Callithrix jacchus: one gene and its partners. The protein of the gene in region 5 purifies or fractionates together with the protein of the main gene of each other region. This does not show direct contact. Links are inferred from orthologs where the notes say so. Each region holds a gene or a part of one and is shown on either strand. Other genes may lie near its edges.

Region 1 (3,500 bases), on a different chromosome or scaffold from region 5:
TGGTCATGAAGCCGGGGTTGTTCAGCAGGCCGGCGATGTCGATGCTGCCCGCGCCTCCCGTCTGGGGGTGAGAACAGCCTGGTGAGTGGGGCCTGGATCAGGGGCCACGATGAGTAAGCCCCCTCAAGACAGCGGCCCCTCGGGGCTCAGACATTCTACCAACCCTGCGGCCAGAGGCTGCTGAGGCAGGCGGCACACAGCGCAGGCCGGCTGGGGGCCAGCCCCGTCTACCGTCCACGCCTCTACTTCCTGCATTCCGCCGCTCTGACACCTTGGGGCCTCGCTGGCGTGGCAGAGCTGGCCCCTCCTGGAGTGGCCACTTCCCAGAGAGAGCAGACGACTCCCCCAGGAACGCCCCTTAGAAATACACACCCACCGACCTAGAACCCACACCCCTAGCACCTCCCTGATCACCTCAGAGCCACAATCCACCTGCCCCAGCCACCCCCAGCCAGGGACCAGGCGACCAGGGCAGCCCCCAGGCCTAGGTCCAGTGAAACAGCTCAAACTGGCCAACCCTAAGCCTCGCCACACGACCCACAGTGAGGGTCTGTATGTGGCCTCTCCCCACCTCCCGCCTAGCCCTGCAGCCAGCCTCCTGCCTCCAGGGGTCTGGGAGCAGGAACCCACTCCTCACAACAGTCACTTCCACGGGCGCGTCTCACCACTGACTGAGACCCCGGACCCTCACGACAGGCAGGTTAAGCCGAGAGCTGGTGGTGCGCCCAAGGACCTGTCCCCACCCGCCAGTCAACCCTGCATTCTGGGGCCACTCGCCCCCGCTGCACTCACAGGGCTGGGGGCCTCCCGCAGCTTCAGCTCTGCGATCTTGAGATTGGACTTGTACGTCTCGTTGTCGGGGTCCAGCTCTAGGGCCTTCTTGTAGTAGGCCACGGCCTCCACGTGCTTGTTCAGGCTGGAAAGCGCCAGGCTGGGGAGAGTGCCGGGGACAGCCTGGTCCCATCTGCCCTGCTCTGGGAGGCCCCACCCAGTCCCCCCTCCCCAGCGGCCCGGCAGCCCCTGTGCACTGTCAACTCGGTGGAGGCAAACCTGGCTTTCGAGGGGTCCAGAGTGGGACTGAGGGAGACAGACATGAGAAGACCCGAGGCACAAGAACTGGTGTCCCCACGGGGCCACGCAGGACTTCAAGGCCTGAGGGGGCTGAGGAGGGAGCGGGCAGGCATGGGGTCACAGGAAAAGCGTGGATGTGGTCTGTGCCGTGCTTCCTGGCACAGGGCACCGAGGACCCTTGGAACCTCTGAGGGACAGACATGTCTCCCACCATCCACAAGCACCTCGACCCCCACCTGAGTCTTCACTACTGAGGTGACTCGGGGGCCCCTAGAGAGCCCAGGGCGGGTCCTGGGGAGACCGAATCACACAGACTTTGAGCATTGGAAGCAGCAGGCAGAGGCACCCTCGTGCTGGGGGGGCAGCGCCGGCCCCACGGGGCACAGGCTCCTGCCCTGGGGACCTCCTGCCTCGCCCTCGGACCCCTCCTGTGTCCTTCATCATAAACCAGGTGCTCCCCTGAGCTCTTGGAGCTGCCTGTGCAAGCTACGGCGCCTGAGCGGGGCCTGTGGGAACCCCAGCGCGCAGCCGGTCGGGGAGAAGCAAGGGTCCCGGGATCTCCGGCTGGCAGCTGACGCGGGGCGGTCTGTGGGACTGAGCCCGTGGCCTGTAGGGCCCACGGCTAGTGTCAAGGCTGAACCGACCGGGGTGGGAGAATCGGTGCGGGTGTGGAAAAGGCCACACGGGAGGAAGCAGGAGCACGCAGGAGAAAAGGGGCCCCGGACGGCACTCACGGCCCTCACCCCATCCTGCCGTAGGCCTTGCTGTAGGCCGGGTCTATGCAGATGGCCCGCTCGCAGTCCTGCACGGCACCCGCGTAGTTACCGAGTTTGCTGTAGGCCGCGGCTCTGGGGAAGTAAAGGCAGGGCAGGTACCTCACCAGCAGCTCTGAGCTGTGGGCAGCCCTGGAGGGAAGCCTCAGTGCTGCGTTCCTCTCCCGCTTCCTGGAGGCGCAGCCTCAGTTTCCCGGTCTGTAAAATGGGGCTGGTGGGGAGAGCTGAGAGGTGTGGCTGCCGAGATGCTCTTACAAAGATGTGGGCTCAGAGCACCAACGGCCGCTCGGGACTGCAACTCTGGACTTTATTTACAAAAAATGTTCCGACCCACAGCAAAGAGTGCAGGAAACGCACACCCAAGTTTTATCACCAAATTTACTGACGTATCAATAAAAAAAGAACTCAGACCAGGTCAGGGCGCAGTGGCTCACGCCTGTAATCCCTCTGTCACTCAGGGTAGAGTGCAGTGGTGCGATCTTGGCTCACTGCAACCTTTGCCTCCTGGGTTCAGGCAATTCTCTTGCCTCAGCCTCCTGAGTAGCTGGGACTACAGGCACCTGCCACTACACTAGGCTAATATTTGTATTTTTAGTAGAGACAGGGTTTCGCCATGTTGGTCAGGCTGGTCTTCAACTCCTGACCTCAGGTGATCCGCCTGCCTTGGCCTCCCAAAGTGCTGGGATTACAGATGTGAGCCAGCACGCCTGGCCCCCGGACTAACTGTTTTTACATTTTCTGTGGAGAGAGGGGTCTTGCTATGTTGCCCAGGCTGGTCCTGAACTCCTGGCCTCAAGTCATCCTCCCACCGTGGACTCCAAGAGCGCCGGGCATGCCGCCTGATTTTAACGTCAGCATCGACTCTCCGTGACCCTCTTGCTGGCCACCTGATGCTTGTTCCTGGCCTGGGACCCCTGGTGAACCCCATCTACAGTGCAGAGGCCTCTCCCACCTCCGGTCCTTGCTAAGCACCCGGGAGACCGCCCCTGCCCTGGGCAGGCCCTGAGCTGGTACCTGTTGCAGAAATAGACGGCGTTGGCGGGGTTGAGCTCGATGGCCTTTCCGTAGAAATGCACAGCCGCTTCAAAGTTTTCCACCTTCATCTGCTCATTTCCTAAAGAGAGAAAAACCCTGGGGCGTTCGCAAAGACCGAGGGGCCTCGGCGCCACACGCGGCTCTTCTGGGCGCCTAGGATTCAACACGGACGCGGGCTTGGGAGGCGCCTGCATCTATGGGGGGGTTCTCTAGTTGCAGGGACTTAGGGAGATGGAGGCAGGGGCGGCAGGGCCTGGCCTGTGTCTGGCAATGGTGGCTGTCACTGCCCGGACGGCGACGGCTGGGAACGGAAGGGTTAATGCGGCTCACTGGCCCAGGGAGCGAACTGTCTCTTTTGCTATAATTTTTGGAAAGAGCCCAGGTGGAGGCCTGCGTTCTAGAATACTCATGTGATGTCTTCTGACTTCACAGGCAATGCAGCTTCTCTCTAAGGTGCAGCTGGCAGGGCGGTAAAAAGCCCAGCTGTGGCCGGGCACGGTGGCTCACGCCTGTAATCCCAGCACTCTGGGAAGCCGAGGTGGGCAAATCACAAGGTCAAGAGAGTGAGACCATCCTGGCCAACAGGGTGAAACCCTGTCTCTACTGAAAAATACAAAAATT
Region 2 (3,500 bases), on a different chromosome or scaffold from region 5:
CCACCCTGCCCAGCTAATTTTTGTATTTTTAAGTAGAGACGGGGTTTCACCATGTTGGTCAGGCTGGTCTTGAAGCCCTGACCTCATGATCCCGCCGCCTAAGCCTCCCAAAGTGCTGGGATTACAGGCATGAGCCACCACACCCGGCTCATAAGCTGCATTTGTAAAAGCAGGGTCATATAGTACATAATTCAGTTAGCACTTCAAATTAACACTTTAATTATAAGTAATTAAAGTTAGAAAATATAATCACATCCAAAAACGAGGCATAATAGCAGTACTATCTTAGAGGATTGTTATAATAATATTTTTAATGTGTAATAGGCATTAAATAAATTAGCTATTATCTAGATACACTCCCTATGATCAATTACATAAATATTTGGTCTCAGAATTTTAGGTCCTACCAACTTACCTCTCGTAAACTAATTTTAGCAGTATAAATTATATTTGATCCATCTCTTTTAAATTTTGGATGATCTTTGTCTTTAATGATAAAAACAATGTCTGCTGGAATACTGTTTGGTGTTTCATCTCCTTCTCTTGGAAAAGTAATTTTGGTGCCTTCTTTCCACCCTTTTTTAATCTCAATGGTAAGAATTTTGTCCTCAGATCTGTAACTCCTTCCATCAGCATTTAGCCTTTTTCGAGAAATCTTCATCCGTTTGGTACAACCATTATATATCTCTTCAAGTGATACTCTAAGTTCATGAATAACTGGAGGATCTTGTTTGAGGCGGGATGGCCCCACAGAATTCCTGTCTCTTGGATATCCATTCATGCTGAAACCAAAGGCACTAAAAGGATCACCATCTATTTCCATTTCTTCAGAATCTCTACCACCACCCATTCGTCTTCCAAAGAAAATTTCAAAGGGGTTGGACCCTCCAAAAAATGCAGCAAATGTAGCATGAGGATCGCCATGAAAGGTGTACCGGAAAGTACCTCCTTGTCCATCAGTACCTCCAGCTCCTCCTTTCAACCCTAATTGAAGAGATAAGCATGATTAGAAAAAAGCTTGCAACTCTTGAAAGTCAAACTTTCAAAAATTGTATTGCTAATAAACTTCGGCTAACTTACATTAAAATTTATTAATATTGGTCAGAAATGCCATTTTAACTAAATATAGAACAGCTATAAAACTCTTGATGATTATATCCTAAGTTAAATTGTTAGTTTTAAAATTCTTCCTCCAAATCAGCATCTTTAATAATTTATTCCTGAATCTTTGTTCCTCAGGTAAGTAAGGAAAATAAAATAAGGCCAGGTACAGTGAGTCACGCCTGTAATCCCAGCACTTTGGGAGGCTGAGGCAGGCGGATCACCTGAAGTCAGAAGTTCAAGACCAGCCTGGTCTACATGATGAAACCTTGTCTCTACTAAATATACAAAAAATTAGCTGGGCATGGTGGCAGGCACCTATAATCCTAGCTACTCAGGGGGCTGAAGCAGGAGAATCGCTTCAACCCAGGAAGCGAAGGTTACAGTGAGCCAAGATCGTGCCACTGCACACCAGCCCAGTCAACAGTGCAAGACTCTGTCTCAAGAAAAAAAAGAAAAAGAAAAGAAAACTGGGAACTGCTTATCTTATAAACTACTGATCTGGAATGTTGAAGTATATAAATTATGTAAGTATCTACTTATAAATAATAAGTTTTTAAAAGATGTCAGTTGAAAGGTCTTCAATAATCAATACAAAGTACAGAACCTAAATCTTTAATTTGTATTACAATTGAACAATATATAAAATAGAAAATACATAAATATATTAATAAAATATATAGCAATATAAAATACCATATTCATACTGTTTATACATATAAACAAAAATACCATATTCATGCTGTTTTTATATATTTTATATGGAAATATATAAAAATATAATGTAATAAAAATCATATTCATACTAACTAGTTTTATTTCAGATCATTTTTTACTGTATGAGAATCAAAATAGGGCCAGATGCAGTGGCTCACGCCTGTAATCCCAGCATTTTGGGAGGCCAAGGTGGGCAGATTACTTGAAGTCAGGAGTTTGAGACCAGCCTGACCAACATGGTGAAACCCCGTCTCTACTAAAAATACAAAATTAGCCAGGCATGGTGGCACATGCCTGTAATCCCAGCTACCTGGGAAGCTGGGGCAGGAGAATCACTTGAACCTGGGAGGTGAAGGCTGCAGTGAGCCAAGATTGCACCGCTGCACTCCAGCCTGGGCAGCAGGAGCAAAACTCTGTCTCAGAATGAATGAATGAATGAATAAATAAATAAATAAATAAAATTAAATTAAATATAACTCTGTGGTAGAAAGTGAAAAAATTCTAATAACGAGGGCACTCTATGAAACTGTACTCTTAGACACTGAAATTATTATTCCTACCCTCAATACAAAAATTATTTATCTAGGCATATCACATCTTAGCATTAATTTCAATGCTTTTAAGAAGACTGAAATCAACAGCTGTAAACCTTGACATGTAAGGTCTTTGTATGGGTTACTTCTGTCTCTTGTGAACAACCCACCTCAGGCAACAATATAGTGATGTTTTGACCCTTTTCTTTCACACAACATTTTCCACTATGTATAAAAAGAAATGTTCTACTAAAACCCATAAAACAACAGTATAGTGATCTTTTAAGGGGTCAATACTAATAAGGATTTCTATCATTACAATATCAGCAGTTTCTGAGTGAGCATTAAGCGAATTCCTAACCAGGAAACAAGCAGAAAAGAATCTAAACATCATAAAATTACGAAAAATTCAACAGATTAAGCTAATGTTTCCTAACAGAGAGTGATCTGAAGGCAGGAAATCTATTCATTTTGTATTGCTCATGCATACAGGGCTGAAAATTGTAGGCATTCATGCTTAGTGAATGAAGGGAATGAACTAATTCCTAAAGTCCTTCTTAATCAAAACTTAAAAAGTTTGATTTGTCTTGAGTATCAGTACAGAGAAAAAGGCAGAAGCAAAAACAACGTAAAATATAATCATGTATATACATATAAGAGATATTTAACACTTTAAAATGCCATTAACACACAGCATACTTTAAAGAAACTTAGTTTTGCTTACGTCTTATTCTACATTTGGCTTCTTCCATTAAAAGTTATATATGTACTCTATTTCATCTAACAGAGTCTCAAGTCATATCTAAATTTTTATCTTCACCCATGAATAGAAATCTGGAGCAACCAAGAGAGACCTAATAATCTGAAAATTGTCAAAATATGTATTGAACAATATATCCAAATAGCAGTTAGGGAAATTCCTTGTAGAAACTGAATGACAAATATAAGCAGGACAAGAACTTTTCATATGCAGCTCACCCAAATTTCCCTTTTGTAAATTTTAGTAGTATAATTATAACTCCAAATGTTAAAAAGCCAATGGCAGATTTTTTTAAAGGACAGAATAATATGTAGCTCAAGGTCATGACCCAGGTGACTCAACCAATGCTTAAATTATTCAAATCATTTTATCCTTCATCTCATAGACTT
Region 3 (4,050 bases), about 63 Mb from region 5:
TTTTCTAGGAATTTCATTTATTCATTAAAAAAAAAAAGATGAAAGTAACTTATTTTGTTTTTTCCACCTAACATTATTGTTAAAGTTTTACTTTTCAGGTTAGCACTGCTTTTAGAAAAATCTATGCAAAGTATGAGTGAGACAGCTGCCTAAGCTATGAGGCTTAGCCCTAGACAACATTTATTCAGAATTGTTCACAGACTTATGGCAACCAACATTTTTGGTATAAAACTAAATATGATGTCAACTTGTATTATGTCTAGTCCTATCAGAGGAAGACTGATCTGGGGGCTCAGAAATCTATTAGGGTTAGGGGTGTCCAATCTTTTGGTTTTCCTGGGTCACATTGGAAGAAGTATTGTCTTGGGCCACAAATAAAATACACTAACACTAATGATAGCTGATGAACTTAAAAACAAAATAGCAAAAATATCTCATGTTTCTTTAAGAAAGTTTATTCATTTGTATTGGGTCACATACAAAGCTATCCTGGGTGGAATCTGGGCCTCAGGTTGGACAAGCTTGTGTTAGGGTCTCATCTCCAATCTTGGCTAGCTATATAATTATGGATAAAGAATCCCACCAGTCCAAGCCTCAAATCCTCATCTATACAATGCTGAGGCTAACCTAAGATGATCTCTAAGATTCATTTCAAACATAATTTTATCTTCATCATTCCTACCACTCCCATTACATTTCAAGGTATTTCATTTATTCATCAAACAATTATTAAACACCTACTGTGTCTCTAGCACAAACAGTTACTGAGTGTACATTTTGATCATACCACTGGCATATTAGAAAATTAGTTAACACATAAGCTTAAAGTTAATAATGGGATTAAGAAAAAATAGTTAAGTGGTTTATTTGGTTTAGAACTCACAGAATGATGGATTTATGGATCAGTACAAAACTCTCCACATTTGACACTGCTCAGAAAATAAGAATGTTATTAAAATACTGTGACTAATCAAAATATAACAGGTCTACCACTGACACGATAAAACCAACTGCCAATATGTATAAACTCTATTTCTGGCCCATAAAAGACAAAAAGGTATGATAAAGTCAGCTTTCATGGGGACAGAATCTCAGTCCAATCTCTAACACGAATACATTTCTGAATAACAGTCTGTGCTGATCCTTCTTGTCAACTTTTAATCCTTCCAACTGATGAAAAACATGAGACATCTGTTTATTTTAAGTACATGCTAGTGGCTGGCTTTTTCATCTTCACTTAGCTTTGTACAATTGTACAGAATGCATTAAATGCTTAATACAAACACACACAATGCCTCCCACTCAACTCCTAGCAGGGAATGGGGGTAAAAGGATAACTCAGATAAGGAACACGCAAAAATTAAATCCTAGAAGAAAGATGGAAAAAAGAACAAATAATAACACAAGGCAAACTATGGTATTAAATAGTTAAAACTTCAGGGTCTTAATAATGTGTTAACTCCCTGTTAAGACAAAAATAAATAAAACTGAGGGTTCCTGTAATAGGAAGAGAACAGGAAAGAAAGGCAGGAGGAGGAGGGGAGATAACATTTACTCAGCACGTTACAGGTGCCAGGCACTATGCAGGTAGTTTTCGCTTATTCTTCTCAGGAACTCACACATGAAAATATGCCTCAACAGGTGACCATCTGCAGTAAGAGTTAACCATTGCCCTTCATAAAAAGATTCCAACAGCCTAAGGGTGTATTCTAACGCACTGGCACTGTGGACGTAAACAATCATTCTGCCTAGAATCTTGTATTTGGAACTGGAAGAGGTCTTGGATCACCTAGGCAACCCATCCATCTTATAAACGATTAACCTAGACCAGACAAGTTAAGGGGCTGGACTAAGGTCATCCTTGTTTAGAAGCAGAGTTGGGATCAAACCAATCATCAATACATGGGTATGCCCCTCTGCTGGTAACTGTTCAGTGAAATTGAGTCATTACTAAGTTACTGACCACCTATTAGTACTTTATTAAAACAATCCTAATTATCCGATTATACAAACAGCACAGAATCTCCAAAGAATTTGTCAATTTCTATATATGTTTTAAACCAACTGATAACCAGTAACCTGTGTTTGAATCTGTCTATTTCCCTGACTGCTCTCCTCATTAAGATCCCAGATGCAGAGCGGTGTTGGAGGAACGAGAGGTGATCGGTCGCTGAGGTAAGGATCGCCTCCTATAAAGCCCCACGTCGATGATCCTGGCCCTAGGCTCCCTGTCCCCTCCGCGATTTGTAACCCCTGAGCCGGGCTGGAGGACGGAGGATGAGTGTGCAGTAACGTGGCTCCCGCGCCCTCGGCTCGCCGATTACCCTCGCGACGCCGGGCCGGTTCCGAACGCGGACTGGACCGTTAAGGGGCTGCCTGGGCCGCTACGCCCCGCGCGGGCCGCCCCTCCCCCACCGCGGCCTGAGGCGAGAGGCGCTGCCGGCCGGGCCCCCACGGCTCCCCGAGAGAACAATACAGGGGGTCCCCCGAGAGACCGTACACCAAGGCTCGCACCGCGGGCCTCGCAGACAGCGGCGAGCCGCAAGGCCGCGAGAGACCACCCCGCAGGAGAGCGAGTGAGGAGGCGGTTATTTAGGGGGTTCAGAGGCCGCCGTGGCCTGACCGTACCTGACTCCAGGTGATGAACTCGTTAGTGTGGGTTTCCTCCACAAGCGTCCACAGCTTGCTGAGGAAAGCCGGCACGTTCGAACTCTGCTTCATTGTTAACGCGGCGCAGGGATTCCAAATTCTACACCCGAACACTGTGGTAGTGGCGACGGCGGTGAAGGCAGCAGCTCCCGGAGAACGCCCACAACGCAGGCGCAGCAGATCTCGGTCCCCGCCCCCCAACCCCGCCAGGCGCGCGGTGAGGCCGAGAGGCAGGGCTGCCGCACGTGACGGACAAGTCTCCTCGCTCCGCCTGTTCGCGCAGTGGTTCCGCGCCGTTCCAGTCCCTGGCCAATCCCAGAGGCCGACCGCACGACAGAGAAAAGTGATTGGCTACTACAGACATGAAGGGGGCGGGAGCAGAAAGGGGTGGGAGCAGAAGGGGGTGGGAGCAGAAGGGGGTGGTAGCAGAAAGGGGTGCTGCCTTCTCATTTGCCTTTTATACAGAAGGCTTGAGGGTAGCCGGCCTTTGGCTTGGGCGACCGTGTTTGGTTGTTTCACGTGGAATAGCTTATGGTTTCTGGACTGTGGCTGGGAAGCTACAAAAAGCCCTCTAGGGCCTTTGAGTCATAAGTTTGGCAGCCAAAGTGTGGTTTCCACCAGTTTAGAGAAAGGATCATTCGCGTAAGGAAAAAGCCAGCTCTTAAGCATGATGTGCTAGGCCTCAAATTGAAACTATCTTAAAAATAATGAACCTTGTTCTTAAGTTTTCATTGGAAGAAAAAGCCCTCTTTAAAATGCATTTATCAAAAAGAGCAGTTTAAAAAACTCACTCTCTACTGCTTAGAGCTGTAAACCAGGAACTGCAATTGATAGTACATCATGTGCTGTTTTTAATCCAGTCATCAAGTGCCTACTCTGTACCAGAATAAAAAGAAACAGGCTTGTTTATATTATTTTAATTAAAATAGTTGTTCCTGTATATACTTTACAGATCTATTTTTTTTTTTGACCTGAGAGATTGGTATAGTGGGAAAAAATAATGAAACAAAGCCTCTTGGACATTTTACTGTGTATTAAAATAAGCCTGTACTGTCATTTAGAGCAATTCCTTAGCTACCAGTGCCAGTTTTTCCCATTTCTTGATTGGGAGTAAGATCTATCTTTTTACCCATTAAGAGTGTCTTTAATAATATGGTTGTGAATATGCTTTGAAAATATGAAGTCTACAAAATTAAACATTTATTTATTTTTACAAAAGCTGGCATGTGAAGACAAAAACTTACAAACAAGTAAGAGATAACACATTATACAAAAATTCAGCATAGAATGGGTTTAGTTCTTGGGTAAATATAAAATAGTACATTAAATATATATATCTTCCAAAGAGCAAATATTTATTGAATACTGCCTTTGTGCTCAGCACTGGGATATTGGCTGAAG
Region 4 (3,500 bases), on a different chromosome or scaffold from region 5:
ACCCTAGATTACAATGTGGCTTTAAGCTCATAAGGTGGAATAAAGAATATACACTGGGTAAAACATCAGAGCAGCAAAGATTTTAGTAAACGATACCAAAACCTTTATATTGTATATTGACCTTGCATATGCTCCTGATAATAATCCAGTAGATTCTGTCTTCTCGAAGCTTGCTCACAAGTAAACACTAAACTATTTCTTAGAGCTAGAATAAATATGGTCGAAAAACAACAGGCTGGGCATGACAAAATTCTCATACCTGCTACAGCCATGTGGATAAGGCAGGTTATTTCTTCTCTTGGCCTCAGTTCTCTCAAGGGAATAACCCTCCTAACTCTAATATTCCATGAGTCTAATTATTTAATTTACTGCTATTAAGTATGAAAAGACCAAAATCATATACCTCAATTTGTCCTAGGAAATTTCATACACAATTCAAGGTTCTTTTTGGACACAGACAACTAACTGAACATTTATCAAGTTCTGTATTCAAGGCAGCAGAAATGAAATTTATCTTTATAATAGCAACTTGCAGTTGTTTCTTAGACTTGCTGATGTAATCATATTTAGCCTGCATCTCAAGCCTTATCCTAAATATCGAGGAATAAGGCCACATCATGTGTTAAGAGGTACTCCAAGCTACTTGGTAACATACCAATTACATTAAGACAGGAGAATATATACATATCTTAATGTACTTAAATGGGGATGAGGTGATAAAACACGGAGGATAGCAGAAGAATTTCATCAGGAAATGCAGTATAGATGAAATGTGAATTGAAGAGTTAGAGCTATAAGCAACAACAGAACAAAAATCAACCAAAATACAGTAGTTAGTTTTAAAATATTTGGCAATAAATTTGTGAACTGCCAGCCAAAGCTTCAAGTATGGAAATGAAGACTGGGGTAATAAGGAAAATGATGTCTATGTTTTATTAGAATCATGATTATATGTTATCTGGCTTCAGCCTACATCCATTCCTACTAGAGACAGTGACCATCATTACCAAACTCACTGACCAGCAAAGAGAGACAGGTGAATGGAGTGGAGGAGAGCAGCAGTAAAAAGAGGAAGAAAGGTAAAAAAGTATCGTATGCAAAGTACCGTTCCTTCTGGGTCTTGTAGGACACAGTGTGGTAGATGTGAACCAATCAAAAATAAAAAGATGAGATTTCACATCAACTTCCCCTCCACTCTTACTTAACTCAAGACTTAGGGCTCACTTAGATGTCTGCTGACCGAAAATAATCAGCCATCTTCATGTCTGTTATAACAGATGCTCTCCCACATTGGCCTTTTCAGCCACGCCCTCATATAAGCTCATTATGAAGTAATGAGAGCATGCTTACAGGATACAAACAAATATCCACCTCATCACTCTTTGGTCACACATGTATCTCAATGGCTTCAGCTCTGACTATGAAGTACATAAGCAAACAAATATAATAATAGCAGTTAAATTCTGGTGGAGAGTAAGTACTTTTTGTAGTTATTATATTCAATTACACCTAATTACTAGGGTTAAATGATATAACAGCACTTTGTGAGATAATGTTCATAACCAGTAAAATTTCTACAGCTCGGTTTGACCAGTATATGCTGAGTGATTCCCCATGAATTCATCTTCTTCCACTGAAATAAATTAAGGATTAGTTTTCACCTGCTCCAACTGTAAACAAATTTAACTTTAAAAAGTATAGATAAAGAACGAAAGACATTCAAAATAGGTAAGAAAAAAAAGAACAAAATATTATTTCACTTAACTCTGAAAGGAATAATAAAGCATATACTGCTTTTTTTCAAGTTCTTCACCGCTTTGAATTATGTGAGGATATTTAAAGGTTAAATACATGCTTTTAGAAGCACAATGTTAATTCCTATTATTTAAACCAGATAATTCCAGATAATCTAATTTTGACACACAAATCCAAATATTTCACCAACTGGAAAATTAAAACTGCTAAATCTGCTCAATGAATTCCTAATTTTTGAAATCACTATTTTGCCCCAGGACTTTAATTGGAAGTATATATAACTTCTGACTTTTCCATTTACTAGGCTAAATAAAGTTATTTCATAGGAAAAAAAAACCCTGTATATCATAACGTTTTTCTTTTGAATGAGTATCTTGGGAAGACAACTAGAGACTTAATTTTTTTTAAAAAAGGTACCCCAAAATATACAACATGCTAATGCTATTCAAAATCTGGATCCAATTTACCTGATGCAGAGCCATGAGTTGAGGTCATACTTTTGACCTTGGAGTCTGAGAGTCGAGAAATACTGTTAGCTCTAATTCTAGGAGAAAATTTATCTGATGGTACTAATCTGGCTCCACTTCTAATGATGGCTTCTGCGGTCCTCGAAGAGGCACTACTTCTAGAAATTGTTGCTTCAGAGTCACTACGAGCTGACAGTGAGCCAAGTCGTGTTCTACGAGGCTGAGCCAATAAATCAATCCGAGAGATGTTGCGCCTTCCTGTGGGAGGTTTTGATGTAGAACTTGTTGTGGATACTTCAGAAGCAACAGATGCTTTGTCAGCATCGGCAAGTTCACTGTCTGAAGCTTCACCAAGTCGTGCTCTGCGCAAGAGGGAAGTCCTGGTAGGTCGTGGCCTTGGAAGAGTGGTGGATTTACTGGATGAACCAGGTACTACAGGAGAAGTCTTAGATTTCACTACTTTACTTCCTTCCAGTTTGGAATGTACATGCTCATCAGCTGAGGTAAGGGGAGTCCGAGCATGAGGTTTACAAGAATAAGTTTCTTGATCAGATGACATAATATCAGAGATAGCAGAATGAGGTACACTGGAGGTTTGGTCATCATCTGTTAGGTCCACTGAAGGCTGTCTTATTCTCCCACTAGATTGAACAAATTTACGACCATCTGCTCTTGAACCCACATCTGTGGAACGACTTTTTGTTTTCTTTTCAATTTTTTCCCTAGCACCTGAAGATGATGCTTTTGTAACATCTTTGGAAGGAGAACCTGTGGAACACCTATCTTTATAGAGGCTGGTAAAACTCTTTCGCTTTTGGGTAGACTTTCTCTCAGTTTCTCCAGTAACCAGACTGATTGTACTAGCTGTATCTACATCAGATTCTGGTGAAATAGAATTGTCTCTATTATAACTAGGAGTATCTGGTCCTTCATCAGTTTTATTATCTTCACGTAGTTTAGCTTCTAGAAAAGCCATTACCGCTTCTGTGTCTTTTAGAATAAGGGTTGTGTCCATACTAGAATCAGGATCCAAACACTCACTTCTTTCCCGTATCCTACTTGCAGATGTTAACGCTAAAGAAGAAGGAGTAGAAGTATTCTGTTTATTTATATGGGGAATAAGTTCTATGGGTATGTTTGAGCTGGGCTTTTCTATAGTGAAGCTCCCTTGTCGCACTAATGACTTGGAGGATTCCTTCTTGTCGCCTCCCTTTGGAGTCTGAGTTTTCAGAATTTCCTCGGCTTTTCTTCTCTTGCTCTCACTTTGTGCCATTCTTT
Region 5 (4,032 bases):
TTAGATAAATTCCATTAGAGATAAATAAAAACCTTTAACAGTTAGTAGAACTGCTGTCAAACATTTTAAATATCATGTAGGTCAGTTCATACTCCAGGTCACAAAACATTTGGCATAATCCTATTTTCAGTTTCATAGGGAAGAAATTTCTTACTCAATTGATAGGACCAATGTGGTTAGGGAACGTTAAGTGCACACAGCTAAGTACAAACTGTAAGGTTTTATTCTACCCAGTTACACTACTTTATTACTCAACATACAATCAAACTACTAGAGCAAAATTACATAAGAGTTTCCTAGTTTCTTTTAAAAATCAACCTTGTTGTACTCATGATTCTCGTTTTAATAGTGTAGTGTTCTGTGCCATTGCCCATGTGGTTTCAAAAAAACTTTAATAGGATCAGTATTAGCATTTTTTCTCTATTTTTGCTTACCTTCAGAAATCCTTTTCAGCCAGTACTACTTTTTTAAAAAGAAGAAAAAAAGCCTACAAAAGTCTAGAACTACTAAAAAAAAAAGGCCTTGAAACAAACAGCCACATATTAATCAGACTTTTCTCAACTCAAATATTAAGCAAGTTGTAATTTAATCAGTGATGTGCAGTAATCAGAATTCATTTTACATTAATCAAACATTAGAATATAATAATCTTCAAAACCTGAGGCTTTATTTTAAAGAGGAGCACTTCAGAGTGCTTTTGTACCTACCACATGTGAGGCATTTCAAGTTGGAGGACAATGACTCCGCTTGAAGGAAGGCAGGGTGGAGTAGCATCCTCCCTATTCCTTTAGGAAAAAATCTTTTCTTTCTAAGGGAGAGCCAGAGTGAAGTGGTTGAGAACATGCCCTTAACATTCTTAAGATATGGAGAAGTGTGGGTTACTTGTTACGTGGCTCCCTAAGGAGAAACATTATCAGTTGGAGGGACTTCAAGTAACTGAAGCCACTAATTTCTGCTTTCGCTCTACTTTTCCTGGGAGTGGAATGGGTCAGGTTTGCTAGTACATAGAAAATCCATGAGGAAGCATTACTTCTCTCTTCCACTTGCCTAATTCTGAGTGGAACCCCAAAACCCGGCGTAGGGCTGAGGTTTCTCTGCTGCCATCCATGAAATTATCGTGAGTGGAGAATCTCTCCCTCTCTGGCTCTTTTCTCCCAGTAGTAACAGTAACAGTGCCTCACTAGTTAAGAGATACCGTGGTTATTGAAGTATTTTCTCGGCAAACGGACACTTCATGCTTGGGTATACTAATGGAGGGAGATAAAGACACACACAGAGTGTTTCCCCAACTTTTTGGCTCACATGCCTCTGCTCATGCACAACCTAGAGAAAAAGATGGAACCAACTCCTGTGTACAGATTCAGGGGATTGCAGGTGCCTAACACGATTTTCTTTTAACTACACTTGTTCACAAAAATTTCACAGGAACTTGAAACAAACATTCAACAGGAAGTATATAAAACTTTTCAATACACCGTTAAAGTCCTTCCATAAATCTATTAACATTAAATTGTTTCGAAATTCTACGCACGTCTACTTCTATATTACCTAATAAAATCTTAAGCAAGAAAAGGAGAAAACTACCTTTTCATGCTTTCAGGCCAGAGACTATCACTTAGTCTTCCATGCAGGGAGGTGCCCAGTACGGAGAAACTAACGGAGCGGCTGAATACCGCCAGCGAGGTTAGGGGAGACAGGGGAGGCAGCAACGTCTTCACTGCACTAAACACCCAGTAACCCTACCACCCACCCCTCACCCCTCTCTAATCTGCTCTCAATGGATCGCGGGGTTGGTTTTGTTTTTTTCCATTTTTGCTCCGAAGTGCTCTGAAGCAGGGAAACTTAATTTCACGTGAAGGGCCACTGTAAACTGCTGCCTCCTTTAAAAACGCATACGGGAAAAGAGTAAGTTAAAAACATCTGGGGCCACACAGAAGGTTCTAGAAGTTCTGCAGACCCCGGCTGCCACAGTCCTTAATCGCATGGAATCTCACCGGGACTTTTATATCCTCTGATTTTTTTTCCCACTCTCCAACACCCAGGTAAGTCAGAGTGTGGCCACTGATTACGCCCTCACAGGTTTAGCTTAAATCGAACGCGTCCTCTGTCGGACTAGGGGAGAAAATCCGAGAAACAAAACTGCTCCACGTCCATCCACCACAAATCTCAACAGGAAACTTCTGCGGCCGCCGCCTCACTGTGCCCCAGACCCCGGCCAGCCACACACGGCCTCCGTCCGCGAACCGCGGCGCAGCTAGCAGGACGCCCGAGACCGCCCGCCCGTCAGCCCGCTAGCCCGCCAGCCCGCCGCTCACCTGAGCTCCAGCTGGTCCAGGCTCTCCAACAGGCGGCTGGAGCGGTCGGCCATGGAGGAGGAGCGGCAGAAGCGCCCCTCGTTGGCTTTAGCGTTAATCTTCGCTTGAGCCATCTAAGCTTCTGACGTGGGGCAGCCGAGAGGTCACCGGCCCCTCCGGCGGCGGCGAATGGAGCGCTCCTGCGGCTGCAAGCGCTGCCGTCACTACGCGGGAGCCCGCCCTCCCCGCCTCTGACGCCCGCGGGAGCAACCCTAGAGGACCCGCTAACACCGCGGCTGCCGCGTGGCCAAACAAGGGCAGGCGCGGCGCCCGCGGGGCTCGGGGATGCCGGGCCAGCGAGGGAGCAGCCGCGGCCGGAGGAAGAGGTGCGCGGACCACGAGCGCAAGGCTCTGAGGCGCCAGGAGGGGCGCACGCAGAGACGTAGCGCTTAATGTGGTCTGCCGGGTCTGCCGCTTGTCTCGTCAGCTCCTCAGACCCAGGAACTACCCGAAGCGCGCGCGGACCCACAGACCACCCCCAGCTCCGCCCTGCGAGGCCCCGCCTCTCCGTGCAGACTAAAAGTAACCAACTCCCCCCACGCGAAGGTTCCTATCGGTCGATGGGCTGTGGGTGTATTGCTCAGTAATGGGTTCGTTTAGTTTCTCCCAGCACCCATAATTCAAAGCAAGAACAACGACATTTGAGTCCTGTGATATGGGGAGAAAACGGCCTTATGTAAAACACAAGGCAGTACAGCTTCTAGGCAGACTACACGCACCTGACCTTCCTATTACCACTCTTTCCTGAGATGAGTAATGAAAGCACCTACAGCAACTGAAGCTTTGAAAAAGAAAAAGCTATTCCATCTCTCCTTGTCTAGCTAGATGTGGGAAGCAAGGTGAATATATTTCATTTTTACCATTCTATTTTGAATTTGAGACTGGGTCTGTCACCCAGGTTGGAGTACAGTGGCACGATCACGACTTAGTGCAGCCCTGACCTCCTGGGTTCCATCGGTCCACCCACCTCAGCCTCCCAAAGTGCTGGATTACACGCTGGGCTTAATGAAGGGGTTTTTAATTTTTGCTATTAAAATTATGCCTGTTAAGTGAACCAAGATCTCGCCAACTGCTTCACACCAGCCAGGGCGACAGGGCGAGACTTTGTCTCAAAAAATAATAATGATAATACTTCTGAGTGAAATAATTGGTATTAAGGAGTCTTCAACTTTTAAAAATCTTCTGTTAACAAAAAGATGCAGAAGGCCTCTAGGTCAGGCATGAGCTGTAGTTGACAAAAGATGGAGTAGAGCTGAGAGTATAAAGACTGGACTACTTAAAAAGTGAGGCTTTGGTCCCTCTCCTGATAGCTCTATGCCTCTCATTGCAAGGATGAAAATCTACAAGGCACAGAAAATGATAGATAATAATAGTTTAAAGTTGAACCACCACCTTTAATCAAAGAGATCAAAGCAGTTTAAATACTTGAACAGAGTTGAAGCCCTTAAGGCTGGATCCCAATTCCCTCTGAACTCATTCTAAATCCTAATTAACTATTGGGGTAGGGGATTATTTGACCTTATTAAAAATACTCTGTCATGACACAAACGAAATCAAAACACATTTTGTGAGTGGTCTGAAAGCCTATCAAGTGACTTTGGAATCATCCTGAACTCTTTTTCTCTCATAGCCTACCTAGATCCAGCCTATTAGTAAATCCCATCAATTTTACCTTCAG
Region 6 (3,500 bases), on a different chromosome or scaffold from region 5:
TCTAAGGCTACTCTTGTCTTTTCTGTTATCTGAAATAGGAAACATCACATTGAGAGTTTGGAAGTTAATCAGGATGTAAATAGTCATCAAATATATCAATTCCCTGTTACCTCTTTAATAGCTTCTTCATCGGGCCTTTGCAGGTCTGGGTCATCTGCATTCATAACCTCCTTTGGAACCAGGTCAGTGTATTTGCTGTAAATGACCTAAAATGTTCAGACACAAGTAGGCTTAAGAAAAGCAAACAATGAAAAGAAACCTCATTAAGCCACTTCAGATGTCAACACGTCCTCTCAATAGACTTAAAAATTTGGGACACTCAGATTTTGTCTTTTAGATTTTAAAACCAAGGATGATTAAAATAAATATACACAAATTGCTATCCTGGCTATAAGTTGATAATTTTCCCTTGACCTCATGCATTTAAATTATTTGAGATCTTCTAATCAAGTCAGTGTCCAAATAAACTATGCCAACAAAATCATGCATCAATGATCTCTATTTTTGAGGCTCACTAGGTCTTGAAATTAATGATAATAGAAATTGCCTATAGGACCATTATCTTGGATTACAAACTCATCAGAATTTAATTCAGGTTACCAAGTATTATTTCCAAAGTCACTGGGCCTGGAAAATTTTATTGACCTCATCCTACTTATAACGCTTCTCTTTTCTGCTGTCAACTCTATTCACAGACTAAGAAAATAAACATGTGCCACAGTTAAAAAACCCAGAACACTTTCTTCCGTGAAAAGACAAAAGGAAAAAAAAGAAAAATATATATACTCTATATATACAACTTATTTTATATCCATTATCCAAATTGAGGCCTGTTATATGACTTCTAGTAGGCCCAACATGGCTTCTGTTAGGGTGATGCTGATGTGGCAGGCCCTTAACAAATAGAATATTGGTTGCTTTCAGGTCCATCTATGCTTCTTAAATATTTTCATAAAAAGTTTCATGGCATATATTAAAGTAAAAAAGAAATACAGAAAATTCAATAAATAGGCATTCTACACTTTAATGCTTTGGTCAGAAATTCTTTGATGTACATTAAAAGGACAACTTATAACTATCAAAGAAAATAAAATTCCTAGGCACTCGAGATCTTCAGAATTTTTTTGTAGAAATGTTTAGTGCTACAAGCAGTCTTATATTAATAAAGTCTATCATACTTCATTCTTTAAAACAGTTTAAAGGAAATGGATGCTATTTCTAATTTTATACTCCAAACAACAGAGCAAAAAAGTGTGAGCCACTTCATGGCTTACACAACTTGACCTGACTTTGCCTATGCCTTCAATCTCCCCTTATAACTCTTACTCTCTCACTCATTATGCTTCAGTCACACTAGCTTATCATCTGTTTCTTGAACATAACATGCTTTTCCCCAATTCTAGGCCTTTACAGAGTGCTGTTCATTGTTCTTCAAGTAAGCTCCCAATCTGTGTATTTCAGATCAAAGGTCCTGCTTTAGTGAGGCTTCTTCTGACTGCCCTTGCTAAAGTGGCAACCCCTCCCCACCCAATCATTTGCTCCATAACACTGTTTACTGTGATCAAGACTGTTCACAGCATGAAATTATTTATCTACTTTACTTGTTTATTATGTCTCCCCTATTAAAGCAATTAAAATAGGGCTGGGCATAGTGGCTCACACCTGTAATCCCAGCACTGTGGGAGGCTGAGGCTGCAGATCACCTGAGGTCAGGAGTTCAAGACCAGTCTGACCAACATGGAGAACCCCATCTCTACTAAAAATAGAAAAATAAGCCTGGCATGCTAATGGGTGCCTGTAATGCCAGGAACATGAGAGCCGAGGCAGGAGAATCATTTGCACCCAGGAGGCAGAGGTTGCTGTGAGCCAAGATTGCACCATTGCACTCCAGCCTGAACAAGAACAAAACTGTCTCAAAAAAAAAAAAAAAAAAAAAATCAAAATAATAATAGCTACTATTTAGTAAGCACTTTATATGCCTGTTTTTTAGAGTTTATTAACTAAATAAGCTTTTTATCAACCCTAGGAGGTATGCACAATGATAATACCCATATTACTTGTCAGCAAAATACATATATATATTTTTTTCTTTCTTTTTTTTTTGAGACAGAGACTTGCTCTGTCACCCAGGCTAGAGTCAGTGGCGAAATCTCGGCTCACTAAAATTTCCGCCTCCCGGGTTCAAGAGATTCTCCTGCCTCAGCCTCCTGAGTAGCTGGGACTACAGGCACGTGCCACCAGGCCTGGGTAATTTTTTTTTTTTTTTTTTTTCAGTACAGACAGGGTTTCACCCGATTGGCCAGGATGGTCTCCAACTCCTGACCTCATAATTTGCCTGCCTTAGCCTCCCAAAGTGCTGAGGTTAGAGGAGTGAGCCACTGCGCCCAGCCTTGGGCAATCTTATTATTAAAGTATCTACTGGCCAGGTGTGGTGGCTCATGCCTGTAATCACAACACTTTGGGAGGCCAAGGCAGGCGGATCACCGGAGGTCAGGAGTTGGAGACCAGCCTGGCTAACATGGTGAAACCCCGTCTCTACTAAAAAAATAAAAAATTAGCTGGGTGTGGTGGTTGGTGCCTGTAATCCCAGCTACTTGGGAGGTTGAGGCAGGAGAATCATTTGAATCCAGGACGCAGAGGTGGCAGTGAACAGAGATCGTGCCACTGCCTTCAGCCTGAGGAACAGAGGGAGATTGTCTCAAAAAAAAAAAAACAAAGTATCTCCTGTGCTTATAATAATGACTAGTCCGAAGGAGATATTCGATCAATTTTTTTGTACAAACAAATATATAAATGAATTTTAGAGATGCTCTGTTACATGCTAAAGGTGTTTATATGATTCATGCCTGTAATCCCAGCACTTTGGAAGGCCAAGGTTGGAGTATAACTTGAGCCCAGGAATTCAAGACCAGCCTGAGAAACATGGGAAGACTGCATCTCTATTTTAAAGAATAAATGAATGAATGAGTGAATAAACAAATAAGTTTATATTTTAGGTCCTACAGAACTTTCTATAAGCTATTGATTGCTCAGAAAAAAACTATCTCATGGCTATTCGCTGAAATCTCCAGCTTGTTTTTCTCCGGAATGAGAAGAGGGATCAGGTAGGACAGCATAAGATGTTTTAGCACAAAACACATACTACTGATATGTGAGCTATTAGTGTCATCATACTCTAAGAGTGTTCATTTTGAAAGGGATCATAAAACTTACTCTATTGAAAAGAGTGAGGCTCAGTACATTAAGATCACATAGCTACTAACTGACCTCAAAAGTCTTATTTCCTCCCATGATGGAAAAACTTATACAACCATAAGCTGAAAATTATATAACAACACTAGAAAAATATACCAAGTCTATGAAGAGTTAATCATGAAGAGTTTATCACTTCTCCATAGCAATCATTATAGGAAATGATTCTAAGTAAACAGTTCCCTGGTAGTCATACATGTTCAACATAAACTGTCAATAGTAATTTAGCATACAAGAGTCATTTGCTG
Region 7 (4,076 bases), on a different chromosome or scaffold from region 5:
TGCTGGTGGGTTCTTTGTTCATTTTATTTTCTCATTATGTTGGTTTTTTGTTTTGAGAGGGAGTCTTGCTCTGTCACCAGGCTGGAGTGCAGTGGCCCGATCTTGGCTCACTGCAACCTTAGCCGCCCCGGTTCAAGCAATTCTCCTGCCTCACCCTCCCAAGTAGCTGAGACGACAGGTGCATGCCACCAGGCCTGGCTAATTTTTTTGTGTTTTTAGTAGAGACGGGGTTTCACCATTTGGCCAGGATGGTCTCAATCTCTTGACCTTGTGATCTGCCTGCCTCAACTTCCCAAAGTGCTGGGATTACAGAAAGTGCCGGCCTTTTTTTTTTTTTGAGATGGAGTTTTGCTCTGTTGCCCAGGCTAGAGTGCAATGGCTGATCTCAGCTCACTGCAACCTCTGCCTCCCGTGTTTAAACTATTCTCAGGCCTCAGCCTCCCAAGTACCTGGGATTACAGGTGTGTACCACCGCACCTGACAAATTTGTTATTTTTAGGAGAGACAGGGTATCACCATGTTGGCCAGGCTGGTTTCGAACTCCTAACCTCAGGCGATCCACCCAAAGTGCTGGGATTCCAGGCGTGAGCCACAGCGCGCTGCCTTTTGGTCATTTTAAACAGCTTCCTTATGTTGCCTAGGCTGGTCTCCAACTCCTAGCCTCAAGCGATCCTCCCGTCTTGGCCTCAGAAAGTGATGGGACTACAGACGTGAGGCCCGGCGCCCAGCCTGGTGCGTTCTTTTATTTCCATATTACAAATAAAACGGGGCTCCTGGGTTAGGCAGACACAGGCAGTTCGTGCAGCGTCACCCGGAGGGAGCCCACAGCGGGCCCAACGAGACAAGTGTGGGCAAGTTCATCATCTCCTGGGGAAAGGTCGGGGTAGCCCCAGGCCCCACCCCTTCCCTAAACGGCACCTTCGTCGTGCCTCCCGACCCACTGACTCAGGCGGAGGGCGGGGCGCAGAGTCGCTGGGGCCGCGTAGAGAGTGAAAGAAGGCCACCACTGGCTCGTCCCGGAAGTTGGGCGGGGCCTCCTCCGACCTGGGTGCGCGCCGCGGGGAGGCGTTGCCGACGGCGGAGCAGGAGGGGGTGTGGCTCCGCGCGGGCGGCCGTTGACGCCGAGGCCCCGCTCCGGATGTCGCGCGTCGCGGACTGGGCGGCGGCGATTGGCCGGCCCGGCTGGGGGGGGCGGGGCGGAAGGTTCTGGAGGGGGCTGGCGGGCTCTGGAAGCTTCCGCCGGACGGGTATATAGAGTCCGGGACCGGGCGGCGGTGGAGCCGGGGTACGGCGGTTGTGGGGCGGCGGGCCGCAGGCGGGGGCCATGGGCAAAGACTACTACCAGACGCTGGGCCTGTCCCGCGGCGCGTCGGACGAGGAGATCAAGCGGGCCTACCGTCGCCAGGCGCTGCGCTACCACCCGGACAAGAACAAGGAGCCCGGCGCCGAGGAGAAGTTCAAGGAGATCGCCGAGGCCTACGACGTGCTAAGCGACCCGCGCAAGCGCGAGATCTTTGACCGCTACGGGGAGGAAGGTGCGTGGGCGCGGCCCCGCCGTTTGACAGGCGGGGAAACCGAGGCACGCCGGCCGCTCTGGGTGCCTCCCCCCTCCGGGGAGGACGCCCCGGGCCCGGGGGCTAAGCTGCTCCGCCCTCGGGCCAAGCGGGCCTCCGCCCTCGGATTGGTGGCCGCGGGGTGGGAGGAGGAGCCTTGGCCCAGCCGCTCGCCCAGAATCTTCTAGCAAGTCTGGGGCTGCCCCTCCCTGGGCGCGTCCTCCCGAGGCCCGGAGCAGCCCCGGGGTGCGGTGCAGGGGCAGTGGGGCCGTGTGGGAGCCGGAGGGCGGACGACGGGGACGGCGCGGCGGAGCGCACTGCGGGCCGGGGCTTACCTAGGTTCGGCCGCCGGGGTCTGCAGGGCGGCGTCTCAGGTTCAGCTGCGGGCGCCGGGCTGCGAATGCGGGCGCCGACCCTCGCGGGCTTGCGGGCGGGGATGGGATAATACCTGGAAAGCGATGACCTGGCCCCGGCCGGGCACGCAGGAGGCAGCGGCGCCCACTGCGGCCGCCCAGGTGCAGAGAGCGGGGCTTTTTGTCCATGTGCTGGTTGATGACTCAGGCTGGATTCTGGGCTTAATTGGAGGAATGAACTGACTTTCTATGCAAGCATGGTGGCAGTGAATGCTAGTGTGTGAGGGTTCAAAAACTCCCCATCTATTTTTTTTCCTTATTTTTACTCTTCTCATCAGTGGTCCTAAAATGTTGAGAGTAAACACTTACCGAAAGCCCACCCTGGACCGTGTCTTAAGCCATCCTTGGTGACATAGCCAGGGGGATGAGTCAGTCCAGGGATGGTAGGGCATGGGTGGCACCTGGAGGTGGATACCTAACTGCATGAGTCCTTTGCCACTGTCACACTACACGGAAGTACTGGGGTGGGGGGCGTCTCTGCTGCTGCAGTGAGAGGTAGAAACCTGGGGTTCTTCCTCGCTCTCCCCTGACAGGCTAAAAAAAGTTCCTCCCCCATGGCTTCCAAGCTTCCTCCCCCCAGCCCCCAAAAGGGAAGCTCCTTGAGAGAGGCTGCTGTTCAGCCATCTGACTGCTTCCAATTCTGCTTTTTAGGGCTAAAGGGCAGCGGCCCCAGTGGCGGTAGCGGTGGTGGTGCCAATGGTACCTCTTTCAGCTACACATTCCATGGAGATCCTCATGCCATGTTTGCTGAATTCTTCGGTGGCAGAAATCCCTTTGACACCTTTTTTGGGCAGCGGAACGGGGAGGAAGGCATGGACATTGACGACCCATTCTCTGGCTTCCATATGGGCATGGGTGGCTTCACCAACATGAACTTTGGCCGCTCCCGCCCTGCCCAAGAGCCCGCCCGAAAGAAGCAAGATCCTCCAGTCACCCACGACCTTCGGGTCTCCCTTGAAGAGATCTACAGCGGCTGCACCAAGAAGATGAAAATCTCCCACAAGCGGCTAAACCCCGATGGAAAGAGCATTCGAAATGAAGACAAAATCTTGACCATCGAAGTGAAGAAGGGGTGGAAAGAAGGGACCAAAATCACATTCCCCAAGGAAGGAGACCAGACCTCCAACAACATTCCAGCTGATATTGTCTTTGTTTTAAAGGACAAGCCACACAATATCTTTAAGAGAGATGGCTCTGATGTCATTTATCCTGCCAGGATCAGCCTCCGGGAGGTAAGGTGCCAGGTGGGGCAGTGGCTGTAGATGGCTGCTCTTTGAAGCAGATAACTATTTGCTGAGCAAATGTGTTGGGGCATGTGGTACATGCCAGGTTAGGGGCACAAAGTGAACAGGACTGCTGGAGCTTTCATGGTGGTGACGTGTAGATCTGGGAACCAGGTCTTGGCTGCACAGGCCTGATGGGTCTTACTCTTTGCCAGATGGCCTCTGGGCAAGAGCTGAGCCTCTTGAGCCAGCTTCCATCTAATGCTGTCCCTTTGCTTTCCAAGGCTTTGTGTGGCTGCACAGTGAACGTCCCTACTCTGGACGGCAGGACCATACCCGTGGTGTTCAAAGATGTCATCAGGCCTGGCATGCGTCGAAAAGTTCCTGGAGAAGGCCTCCCCCTCCCCAAAACGCCCGAGAAACGTGGGGACCTCATTATTGAGTTTGAAGTGATCTTCCCCGAAAGGATTCCCCAGACATCAAGATCTGCACTTGAGAAGGTTCTTCCGATATAGCTACCTGAGCTCTCCAGACTGACTAGGGACCTTTCCAGAGCTCAAGGATTTCTGGACCTTTCTACCTATTGTGGACCATGAGAGGGCGGAGGGCCCAGGGAGGGTTTTCATACTGCTGAATGTTTTCCAGAGCATATATTACAATCTTTCAGAGTCATACACTAGACTTAAGTGGTTTTTTGAGCAATAGGACATCAGGTGGTGGGAACAGCAGGAAAAGGCATTCCAGTCTGCCCCACTGGGTCCGGCAGCCCTCCCAGGAGGGGCCCACATCCTCCTCCTCCAGTCCCTGTCCAGGGGTGAGAGGCAGACAGACCAGCAGCTGGACTTGATGCTTGTGTCCCTTTGCTTCTGGCTGGTAGATGGTGTCAA

Evidence for each region.
Region 1: the proteins of BAG2 (region 5) and SGTA purify together in Homo sapiens (affinity purification with mass spectrometry; 3 studies listed by BioGRID and IntAct, with this or other methods). This does not show direct contact. The link is inferred for Callithrix jacchus from reciprocal best matches to the Homo sapiens genes BAG2 and SGTA.
Region 2: the proteins of BAG2 (region 5) and DNAJB4 purify together in Homo sapiens (affinity purification with mass spectrometry; 4 studies listed by BioGRID and IntAct, with this or other methods). This does not show direct contact. The link is inferred for Callithrix jacchus from reciprocal best matches to the Homo sapiens genes BAG2 and DNAJB4.
Region 3: the proteins of BAG2 (region 5) and HSF2 purify together in Homo sapiens (affinity purification with mass spectrometry; 4 studies listed by BioGRID and IntAct, with this or other methods). This does not show direct contact. The link is inferred for Callithrix jacchus from reciprocal best matches to the Homo sapiens genes BAG2 and HSF2.
Region 4: the proteins of BAG2 (region 5) and CEP170 purify together in Homo sapiens (affinity purification with mass spectrometry; 3 studies listed by BioGRID and IntAct, with this or other methods). This does not show direct contact. The link is inferred for Callithrix jacchus from reciprocal best matches to the Homo sapiens genes BAG2 and CEP170.
Region 6: the proteins of BAG2 (region 5) and SNW1 purify together in Homo sapiens (affinity purification with mass spectrometry; 3 studies listed by BioGRID and IntAct, with this or other methods). This does not show direct contact. The link is inferred for Callithrix jacchus from reciprocal best matches to the Homo sapiens genes BAG2 and SNW1.
Region 7: the proteins of BAG2 (region 5) and DNAJB1 purify together in Homo sapiens (affinity purification with mass spectrometry; 4 studies listed by BioGRID and IntAct, with this or other methods). This does not show direct contact. The link is inferred for Callithrix jacchus from reciprocal best matches to the Homo sapiens genes BAG2 and DNAJB1.

What each region holds. Positions count from the first base shown.
Region 1 is NC_133523.1:2,607,270-2,610,769, forward strand, and holds part of SGTA (small glutamine-rich tetratricopeptide repeat-containing protein alpha), read right to left. Parts: intron 2,959-3,500; coding exon 2,859-2,958; intron 1,920-2,858; coding exon 1,815-1,919; intron 932-1,814; coding exon 793-931; intron 62-792; coding exon 1-61. UniProt on the Homo sapiens protein: Co-chaperone that binds misfolded and hydrophobic patches-containing client proteins in the cytosol. Mediates their targeting to the endoplasmic reticulum but also regulates their sorting to the proteasome when targeting fails.
Region 2 is NC_133508.1:115,232,952-115,236,451, reverse strand, and holds part of DNAJB4 (dnaJ homolog subfamily B member 4), read right to left. Parts: intron 985-3,500; coding exon 416-984; intron 1-415. UniProt on the Homo sapiens protein: Probable chaperone. Stimulates ATP hydrolysis and the folding of unfolded proteins mediated by HSPA1A/B (in vitro).
Region 3 is NC_133505.1:128,928,445-128,932,494, reverse strand, and holds the start of HSF2 (heat shock factor protein 2), read right to left. Parts: upstream 2,801-4,050; 5' UTR 2,722-2,800; coding exon 2,629-2,721; intron 2,359-2,628; exon of another isoform or gene 2,080-2,358; intron 1-2,079. UniProt on the Homo sapiens protein: DNA-binding protein that specifically binds heat shock promoter elements (HSE) and activates transcription. In higher eukaryotes, HSF is unable to bind to the HSE unless the cells are heat shocked.
Region 4 is NC_133520.1:42,978,452-42,981,951, reverse strand, and holds part of CEP170 (centrosomal protein of 170 kDa), read right to left. Parts: coding exon 2,223-3,500; intron 1,474-2,222; exon of another isoform or gene 1,371-1,473; intron 1-1,370.
Region 5 is NC_133505.1:65,540,836-65,544,867, reverse strand, and holds the start of BAG2 (BAG family molecular chaperone regulator 2), read right to left. Parts: upstream 2,801-4,032; 5' UTR 2,429-2,800; coding exon 2,316-2,428; intron 1-2,315. UniProt on the Homo sapiens protein: Co-chaperone for HSP70 and HSC70 chaperone proteins. Acts as a nucleotide-exchange factor (NEF) promoting the release of ADP from the HSP70 and HSC70 proteins thereby triggering client/substrate protein release.
Region 6 is NC_133509.1:112,696,542-112,700,041, forward strand, and holds part of SNW1 (SNW domain-containing protein 1), read right to left. Parts: intron 207-3,500; coding exon 111-206; intron 30-110; coding exon 1-29. UniProt on the Homo sapiens protein: Involved in pre-mRNA splicing as component of the spliceosome. As a component of the minor spliceosome, involved in the splicing of U12-type introns in pre-mRNAs.
Region 7 is NC_133523.1:13,295,148-13,299,223, reverse strand, and holds the start of DNAJB1 (dnaJ homolog subfamily B member 1), read left to right. Parts: upstream 1-1,276; 5' UTR 1,277-1,324; coding exon 1,325-1,535; intron 1,536-1,814; exon of another isoform or gene 1,815-2,124; intron 2,125-2,617; coding exon 2,618-3,198; intron 3,199-3,473; coding exon 3,474-3,704; 3' UTR 3,705-4,076. UniProt on the Homo sapiens protein: Interacts with HSP70 and can stimulate its ATPase activity. Stimulates the association between HSC70 and HIP. Negatively regulates heat shock-induced HSF1 transcriptional activity during the attenuation and recovery phase period of the heat shock response.